Linked DNA regions of Tribolium castaneum. The protein of the gene in region 1 purifies or fractionates together with the protein of each later gene. This does not show direct contact. Links are inferred from orthologs where the notes say so. Each region holds a gene or a part of one and is shown on either strand. Other genes may lie near its edges.

Evidence for each region. Proteins that work in one complex are often made in the same cells at the same time.
Region 2: the proteins of sl (region 1) and vap purify together in Homo sapiens (affinity purification with western blotting; 3 studies listed by BioGRID and IntAct, with this or other methods). This does not show direct contact. The link is inferred for Tribolium castaneum from reciprocal best matches to the Homo sapiens genes PLCG1 and RASA1.

Annotation. Positions count from the first base shown.
Region 1 is NC_087394.1:2,081,148-2,086,587, forward strand, and holds part of sl (1-phosphatidylinositol 4,5-bisphosphate phosphodiesterase gamma-1), read left to right. Parts: intron 1-2,018; coding exon 2,019-2,196; intron 2,197-2,202; exon of another isoform or gene 2,203-2,431; coding exon of another isoform or gene 2,432-3,259; intron 3,260-5,440. Other genes in the region: uncharacterized protein LOC135266330, read right to left, coding at 2,432-3,259. UniProt on the Homo sapiens protein: Mediates the production of the second messenger molecules diacylglycerol (DAG) and inositol 1,4,5-trisphosphate (IP3). Plays an important role in the regulation of intracellular signaling cascades.
Region 2 is NC_087400.1:10,161,444-10,166,476, forward strand, and holds the start of vap (ras GTPase-activating protein 1), read left to right. Parts: upstream 1-1,545; 5' UTR 1,546-1,744; coding exon 1,745-2,224; intron 2,225-5,033. UniProt on the Homo sapiens protein: Inhibitory regulator of the Ras-cyclic AMP pathway. Stimulates the GTPase of normal but not oncogenic Ras p21; this stimulation may be further increased in the presence of NCK1.

The sequences.
Region 1 (5,440 bases):
CTTTTTAGTGAAGTTTTTTAAAATTCATTGAATGTCTTTGTAAAAAATACTCTTGGTGAAAAATGTTTTTTACGCCAGTGTTACGAGTTTTTTGCCTATTTTTACCGAGTTTTTTCAAATTTATTGAATAACTTTGTAAAAAATACTCGAGTGAAGCCAACGAAACCAATTTCAGACCCAACTTTTCAAATTTTCAACCTTGTTTTTGATAAAATCTTTCGGAATTTATTTAATTTGTCGCCAAAAAACGGGCAAAAATAATATATTGTGAGGGTTTTTAAGCAAAGTTTTTTTAATACAATCATCTCGATGAAAATACTGTAATTAGGAGAAACTGGCCAAAAAAATAAGATTTTTCGACGAGTTTGTTGGTGAAAAATGTTTTCAAGGCAAGTTTTCGAGTTTTTTTTGCCTATTCTTACCGAAGTTTTTCAAATTTATTAAATAACTTTGTAAAAAATCCTCGAGTGAAACCAACGAAACCAATTTCAGACCTAACTTTTCAAATTTTCGACCTTGTTTTAGATAAAATCTTTTGGAATTTATTTAATTTGTCGCCAAAAAACGGGCAAAAGTAATATATTGTGAAGGTTTTTAAGCAAAGTTTAATGCAATGATCTCGATAAAAATACTGTAATTAGGAGAAATTGGCCAAAAAAAAACAAGATTTTTTGACGAGTTTCTCGGTGAAAAATGTTTTCAACGCAAGTTTTACGAGTTTTTTCCCTATCTTTGTAAAAAATACTTTATACCAACGAAACCAATTTCAGACCCAACTTTTCAAATTTTCGACCTTGTTTTTAATGGAAACTTTTGGAATTTAATTTGTCGCCAAAAAACGGGCAAAAATAATTTATTGTGAAGGTTTTTTAGCATTGTAGTAAAATCATCTCTATAAAAATGCTCCATTGAGAGAAACTATGGCCAAAAAAAAAAAATTGTTAGAAATTTTGTACACTTTTTTAATAAAATCTCTTGAATTCAGTTAGTTTTTTAGAGCAAAACATGCAGACCAAACGAAGTAAACATTTTAGGCTTGTTTTGAGAAAGTTGTAACGAATGTATTAATGAAAAACATGGAAACCGAGCAAAAAAAAATTACATATTTAGTGTATAGTGTAAACTTAACAATTTTTAGTCTTGTTGAAATTGAAAAAAAGAACGCAAAAATAACACATTTTTCTGTCCTATTTTTTTTGTCAATGTTCAATGAGTATCTTGACGAAAAACGCTGTAATAAAGCGTAAAGTTTTGCGATTTTATTTCTTATTTTGGCGAAGTGTCTGAAATTTATTTAGCTTTATCAATGAAAAACTATTTAAATCGAGCGAAAAAGACTAAATTTGTGCTTGTTTTTGGATAAAAAGTTTTGAGTTAATTAGATTTTTTCAATAAAAAACTGACCAAATCGAACAAAACAAAATTCAATAAGTTTTTCGAAAAAATGCTTTAACGAAATTGGAAATTAAACGAGCGAAATTAACGAATTTAGCGCGATTTTATTTCTTATTTTGGCGAAGTGTCTGAAATTTATTTAACTTTATCAATGAAACACCATTTAAATCAAGAGAAAAAGACTAAATTTATGCTTGTTTTTGGATAAAATGTTTTTTTTTGGTAAAAAATTGACCAAATCGAACAAAACTCACAAAAATAACTCATTTTTTGTCCGTTTTTTTGTCAAAATTTATTGAGTTTCTCAAAGAAAAACGGTTTAACAAAGTTGAAAATTAAACGAGCGAAATTAATGCATTTTAAAACGAATTTTGCGATTTTATTTTTATTTTGGCGAAGTGTCTGAAATTCATTTAACTTTATGAATGAAAAACCATTTCAACTTATTCATTTTTCTGTCTTCATTTCTTGTAAAAAATTATTTTAGACGGAATTTTACAATCTCTTTCATTAATTTTACGAGATTTTTGGGATTTTAGTGATTTTGATAACTAAATTTTCCGCTTTGTTTTTGTGAACTGGCGAAGTTTCTTCGTAAAATATAGCAAAAAAAAATATTTCAGAGCGGATAAAAAAATCAAACACTGTCGAATCAAACTGGAAGGTCGTCTCTACACCATTGGCAACGTCGAATTCGAAAGTTTAGTCGAATTAATCAACTATTACGAAAATCACCCACTTTATCGACGCGTCAAATTGAGTTATCCAATCAGCGAGGAGGCCGTCAAAAGAATGACTATGGTAAGTTCAAAAAAACTTTATTCGAAAGACAATTTTTTGTACATTTAATTGCACGAAACCGACCCCACTACATAATAATAATAAAAAAATCAGATATAGTATACTTTTTTAAACTCTAAACCTATAAGAACACGAGTAACATACATAATTTTTAAGCCAATAAAATAATGAATTAAAAAATATACATTACAATAATCAGTCTTTTTAATTAAAAAGTTGTGACCAAATCAGTTGATCAGACGTCTTCGCCCCCTTCATATTGATCAGGGATTGCCACTGCCTTGATCACATGAAAGGTGGGCACATAAGGCACTTGCAAATTAACATTTTCCGGTTGAAGCGGTTTCGGATAATAGGCAAACTGGTCAAAATCCCACGGTTTCCTCACTGTTTGTTCTTCCGGTGGTGAATACGGCACCGGAACCACAAATTTCAATTGTTGTTGGTACAAGTGCACCCCTTCTTCTGGGGGCGGTTTTTCCGTGGTTGTCGTTTTCTCTGTTGTAGTCTGACTAACCGATTCAGAGCCTCCAATCGGGTAAAACGACGGAAAAAAATTACGAAAATTATAACCACCGGGGACGGCGCTTGTCGTCGGGGGCGGCGTCGTTGTGGGGGCGGGAGCAATCTGACTCGGGATACTTTTATGCCAATAGTAAACCGTGCGTCCGTCGCTCATTATCGTCTTTTGTAAAATAACAGGCTCGAGTTTGATGTATTTAACGGGGGCGGCTTTGGGGATGGTGACACCGTCGGCGGTGATGTAATGGCCGCTGGGGGTGGTGTTACGGGGCGGTGGCGTGGTGGCGAGACGGGCCAAGTGTTGGCATTTGATTTTGAGGTCTTCTAATGACGTTTCGGGTTTTTTTTGTTTGTCATCAGCAGGGTATTTGGTAATGATGGGATAGTCACGATTGTGGTTTGAAATAATTTGTTTTATTGTGTCGGTTTGGCGTTGGACGAGGTCGGAGACGGTTTTGTTGGGGGTGGTGGTGGGGGTGAAAACGCGGTCGGGTAAGGGGTGGGAGGTGGGGTAAGAAAGGGTGTTTGACAGAGCTGCAAGCTGTAAAAAAATATTTTTTTATTTAACTTTTTTATTTTTATTATTATTATTATTTTATTTTCTATTATTTTTCTTTCGAAGTTACGTTGAATAGCTCCAAGCTAGACTTCGCTTCCTCATCTGCGTATTGTTTTTTAATTATTTAATAAAAGCCCTTTTTTATTAATATTGTTATTATTATTATTAATTCGTTAAAAAAATGAAAATTAAAAAAATCGCAAAACAATTAGATTATGCTATTTTTCTTGCTCAGAAATTATCTTAAAAGAATACAAAAGATATTAGAAAGCTACAGAATTTGAGAAAATTTTATATTATTAAAATTAGTGAGTTCTCCGCTAAAATTTTTCAAAAATCGAGTAAAACAAACAAAAGTAACGCACTTTAAAGCAAATTTTACGCATTATCTGCTTTTGTTTGGCGAAATTTCTCGTATTTGGTAAGTTTCTGTATTAAAAAATTTCTAAATCGAGTGAAGTGTGCAAAAATATCGCAGTTCAAACCTACTTTTGTGATTTTATTTTTTGTGAAAAACTATAAAATCGACCAAAACAGACAAGCTATTAATTTTTTAAGTATAAAAACTGTGCCTTTTAACAAATTAAAAAAATAAATTTAAAAAATCGCAAAAGAATTAGATACGCTACTGTTTCTTGCTCAAAGATTTTCTTAATAGGATTGTATAAAAACAGTGCCTTCTAACATAAATTAAAAAAATAAATATAAAAAATTACATAAACTTTCACCTTTTAAAAGTTAAAAAAGTTAAAAGGTAAGTGAATGAAAAATCGAAAAATATTGTCTTTTTTATTTGAAAAATTGAAAAGTTTTCAGCTTTAAATACTTTAAAAATCTCGCTACAAAGAAGACTCTAATTTTTTCTGCTCTGTTTTTTTCTAAATCGAGTGAAATAGGCAAAAATGTCGAACCTACTTTGTAATTTTAAAAACTTTAAAATTTAGCAAAACAGACGTAAATACAATGTATTTCAAATATTTTTTTATAAATTATCTGCTTTGTTTTTACTGAAATTGTTCTAATTAATTGAACTTCGGGGTTAAAAAATACCCTAAATTCGTACGAAAGTAGAAAAAATTATCCATTAGGAACAGATACGAAAAAGAAATCATTGAAAAAGTAGAGTTTTTCTTTGTTAAATACTTCAAAAATCGTACAAGGCAAACACAACTAACTCATTTCAACGAGAATTTTAAATAGTTTGCCTTGGTTTGGCCAATTTTTCTAATTTAGGTCGTTCCAAAAAATTTTGGTCGCAAAAATTGCGCAGTTCAAACCTAATTTTTATGATTTTATGTTTTTTTTATGATTTTTTATCAATAATATTGAAATTGTTTTGATTTATTTATTTAATTTAATATTTAAAAACAGTAATGTTTATGACGAATAAAAAATTGATTAATTCGAATAATAGAATTTTTCTGTTTTAAAAACTTTACAAATCATCTGTTTGAAAAAAAAATTCTAAATTTTCTCAGTTGCTTGGCGAATTTTTCGAACCTAATTTTGCGATTTCTTGTTTTTATTTAAACAAAAGGCTTTACACACACAGGTAAAGATTAATGCATTTTAAAACAAATATTACGTTTAGTTTTTAGTTAAAACTTTCACATTTATTTCTCGAGTTATTCTTTTCTTTGGTAAGCAATAAAACAAGCAAAACTATTTCTAATGTTACATTTTTTTGTTATGTGAATTTCTTGGTGAAAGAACTGAGCAAAATAGCTGAAAATAAGGCATTTCAAGACTAATTTTACAACTACGTGCTTTATTCGAATAAAATCTTCTAAATCTAGTATTTTTTCCGAATCGAGCAAAACAAGCAAAAAAACTATGCATTTCACAACAAAGTTCGCAAATTTTCTGCTTTGATCAAGAAATATCTCGGATTTAGTGAAATTCTAGAAAAATTTTTGGAACATCATGCCTTGTTTTTGGCAAGATTTTTAAAAATGAATGTTTCTCTTTAAAATATTCTGAATCTAACTAAAAAAATTTTTAGTTTTTACCGAAATTGTTGAAATTTTGTGAATTTCTTAAAAAAAACTAAAATGGTGTCAATAATAATAAAAAAATTAAAACATTGCCTGCTTAACTTGAAAATTGTTAATTTTATTATTCCAAAAATGAAATTGGCATTTTTTTCAATTAAATACAATTCTT
Region 2 (5,033 bases), on another chromosome or scaffold:
TAAATGTTTTTGTGCTATTGTAACTGTTGCAGATATTATTATTATTATTATTATTATTATTATTATTATTATTATTATTATTATTATTATTATTATTATTATTATTATTATTTATTATTATTATTATTATTATTATTATTATTATTATTATTATTATTATTATTATTATTATTATTATTATTATTATTATTATTATTATTATTATTATTATTATTATTATTATTATTATTATTATTATTATTATTATTATTATTATTATTATTATTATTATTATTATTATTATTATTATTATTATTATTATATTATTATTATTATTATTATTATTATTATTATTATTATTATTATTATTATTATTATTATTATTATTATTATTATTATTATTATTATTATTATTATTATTATTATTATTATTATTATTATTATTATTATTATTATTATTATTATTATTATTATTATTATTATTATTATTATTATTATTATTATTATTATTATTATTATTATTATTATTATTATTATTATTATTATTATTATTATTATTATTATTATTATTATTATTATTATTATTATTATTATTATTATTATTATTATTATTATTATTATTATTATTATTATTATTATTATTATTATTATTATTATTATTATTATTATTATTATTATTATTATTATTATTATTATTATTATTATTATTATTATTATTATTATTATTATTATTATTATTATTATTATTATTATTATTATTATTATTATTATTATTATTATTATTATTATTATTATTATTATTATTATTATTATTATTATTATTATTATTATTATTATTATTATTATTATTATTATTATTATTATTATTATTATTATTATTATTATTATTATTATTATTATTATTATTATTATTATTATTATTATTATTATTATTATTATTATTATTATTATTATTATTATTATTATTATTATTATTATTATTATTATTATTATTATTATTATTATTATTATTATTATTATTATTATTATTATTATTATTATTATTATTATTATTATTATTATTATTATTATTATTATTATTATTATTATTATTATTATTATTATTATTATTATTATTATTATTATTATTATTATTATTATTATTATTATTATTATTATTATTATTATTATTATTATTATTATTATTATTATTATTATTATTATTATTATTATTATTATTATTATTATTATTATTATTATTATTATTATTATTATTATTATTATTATTATTATTATTATTATTATTATTATTATTATTATTATTATTATTATTATTATTATTAAAATGTCTCATAACAGTCCATGGGTACAAAAACATTAATTTAACATTAATATTCTCTTAAATATGGAACATGAATAAAATGTCCTGAATTTTCTGCTATTGTCGAGTTAGTTCGTTTACTACATGTTAGGTAGCGCTTTCGGTAAAAACGAGGGATAGACAGAGAAATTCGCTTCTTCCTCTCTCTTATTCTATGATTGGAAAGCTCTATATTTGTTACTTCAATGGCCAATTTCCATCCATTGTCAGGTTGTGTCCCCACTTGGCAGCGCCGCCTTCCTGAGTCACTCATCGGAATTTGTCAAAATAATTTCGTGTGTTCGTTCCCCTCACAGAATCAAATAAACGGTTCGCGAGACATCAATAAACCATTCATGAGATCGGCCACAGGTTAGGTGGTGCAGCGCGTCATTTCCGAGCGTGGTTATGGTTTAAAGTGTCGAAATGGCCGATTTGATACGTGCAGGAAGCGGACATGGGGCTGTGATGAAAGATAAGCTGGGTTCGCCGAGCACCGGAAGCGAGGATGGCAACGAGCAGGACACGCAGGGGGCCCCCAAGGCAGAGCCCGACGAGACCGACCTGGGGGACTCGGCGCCGTTCGCCCCCTCGGAGACGCTGTGGTACCACGGACGGCTGGACCGGTACCAGGCCGAGGAGCGCCTCTGGATTTCGAACAAATTGGGGAGCTATCTGGTGCGGGAGAGTGACCGGAAGCCGGGCTCGTATGTGTTGTCGTTTTTGGGGCGCACGGGAATGAACCATTTTCGGATTACGGCCGTTTGTGGCGATTTTTACATTGGGGGAAGACAGTTTGTGTCTTTGAATGATCTGGTTGGGTATTATACGGAGAGGAGTGATTTGTTGAAGAGGGAACGGTTGGTGCATCCGGTGCCACCTCCGGAGCCAGTCAATGATAAAAAGGTCAGTTGGTTGTGATAAGAGTGTGTGGAAAATGATAATAGATGGATGGAAATTGAGCAATTTGGCGAAATCGCAAACGAACAATTATTTTTAATTGCTGGTTATTATTGTGTTGACATTTGAGACAATAGGTGACCTGGAAGTAATTGATTCATTAATCATTATTATACAGGGTGCTGCATTTTGGATGTCCAAATAGGGGATGTCCAAAACTAAAAGGTTTAGAGAAAAACGAGTGATACGTCCTTGGGTCCATTTTTTTGAGAAAATAATTTTGGTCAAAACCGCATTCTCCTATCGTCTTTTGTTTTCTACTTATAAACGAATTCCTTATTACAAAAGATACATATTTGAAACAAAGACATTATACAAGCATTTTTTACAGATAATATAATAATGTTATCAGTAGATTTTTTTCATTCGTTTAGCTATAATTACATAAAGTTGTATTTTTTTTAAATAGGAATCATAGTTGGCTATGACATTTTCGAAAAGCTTATTTTTTCTGAACAATATAAATACAGTTTTATATTTTTATATACTTTTGCTAAAAAATGTAATCAAAATATTTGAACGTAGTTGGCCATGGAAAAGTTATTTCACAGAAAAGGTGTGAATAATCTAGAAATTTTGTGAACGGTTATTAAAGTAATAAATGTAAAATTATCAAAATAAGCTATGTTAAAATTATTTTCAATTGAACAAATATCGTCGCAGATTTTAATTACATAAAAAATGTGCAGAAAATTTAAAACGATGTGTCACTACCATTTGATGACACTTGATTATAATTTAGTGAAGTGCAATGGAGGTGACGCAGATAGGATTTGATTTTGGTGTTTGGATTGACATTTTTTGTAAAATAAAATTTTATTGTCAAGCAATCATACAATTAATAAGATTTTTCTTTTTCCGACATTTCATGTTTAATTAGAAAATAGAATGACAATGTAAGGTTGCCATTTTAAATCTAAAAACAAATAATTTTTATTCATCGCAAAAATTCAAATAATAATTTATTTTGCTGTTTTTGAATTAATTAGTATTTATTATTAATAATTATTTATTATTAATGATTAATTATTTATGATTATTATAATTATTATATCTTTGTTTCAAATGTGTATTTTTTATAATAAGGAAGATATGAATTTTTTAAGATTTCGCTAAAATGTCAACTTTTGTTGCAAACAAAAGACGGTAGCGGGATGCGGGTTTGACAAAAATTATTTTGTCAAACAACGGATCTGAGAATGTGTCACTCGTTTTTCTCCAAAACCTTTCAGTTTCGGAGATCTCCTATTTGGATATCCAAAATGCATCACCCTGTACAGGGTGGCTCAGCTCTAACATTGAAGATTCATTTTTTGAGAAAATATTTTGAACCATTTTTCCATTGTCTTCAACTAATAAACAAAAATGTTTCTTTATTCAATGTAATTTTTTCAAGTTATTCAACTTTAAACACTGTGTTTTACTTACACTTTAATTAAGCTTTTTTTTATCTTTCTTTTGTTAAGTTAAGTTAAGAGAATTCAACTTCAGTGTTGTAGAGAATCACTTTAGTAGTCCAAATATATCAGCTGTTTCAAAACTATAAAAACGCCAACATCGCATTTTACCAAATTATTTTTTGAAAAAAGATTGATAAAGTTGTAAAATAGTTATTAATAATTAGATCTCTCATTGAAAGTATAAATTACAAAATACAGATTCGGGGTTTCCCTACAAGGATACAATTATTTAAAGTTTCACTTCAAGTGCCCTTTAAATAGCGTTTTCTTCTACAGCAGGCTAAAAATTTCAGTGTTTATTCTTATTTATGGTGTAGATGATTGTGAAAAATAATAATGTAAAACAATTTCTTGAAAAATTAGCTTTATTTTGAAGTAAAAAGTAAAAATGAAGTAAAAAATTTTGTAATTTTTCTTAAAAGTGAAACCGCAGATTACAAAAATTTAAAATTTTTTTACTTTGAAAAAAGCAAATTTTTTGAGTTGTTTTACATTATTATTCTCCACAATCAACATAAATAATAAATTGAAATCATATTCTTAAATAATAATAAACTCTGAAACTTTTAGCTTGCATTTGAAGAAAAAGCGATACAAAAGTGATCTTCACACCAATGTATCTTTGTGGGAAGCCCTGAATCTTTTTTTTCTATATTTGGACTACTGAAATGATTCTCTACAATGCTCTGAACTTGGAATTCGCCAATGTTGAGACACCCTGTATAGTTTATCTTGGGTGCAAGACAAACTGCGACGATAAGAGAGAATAGCGATGTTATTAGGACAAAAATGTACGAGTATTTGAGCTTTACCCAAAGTTTTTAAGCTTTACACGTTGGACTGTGATTTTGAAATTAATTTGGCAACATTGAATACTTAGATGAGACTTGTCATTTTCATAATTCATTGTTGTTATCATAATTTTTTAATAGAGAAAGACATTAAATATATTATTTCGTGTTATGATTATGACCAACTGAGTATGTTTTTTAATTTAATTTAAAAATAAAATGTTATTTTTAAATTAAAAAAAAGAAAGTTAAGGACTCATGGAAAACCGAAGACGATATTAAATGCACTAACTGCACCATAGACGACAGTTCATTGGTTAAAAATGCTTTAGAGAATTAAGAAAATTTTGGATATTATAGTGAATACCACTTTTGGGAAGTAATAGTATATTAATAAACAAATTTCATAAGAGCAGTCTTAAAGCACGAATTCAACCAGTGGCCTCAGTCATGAGTTTTTTGAAAGAATGATTGCTTCAAAGTCTTATGAATTGAGTTTTTTAT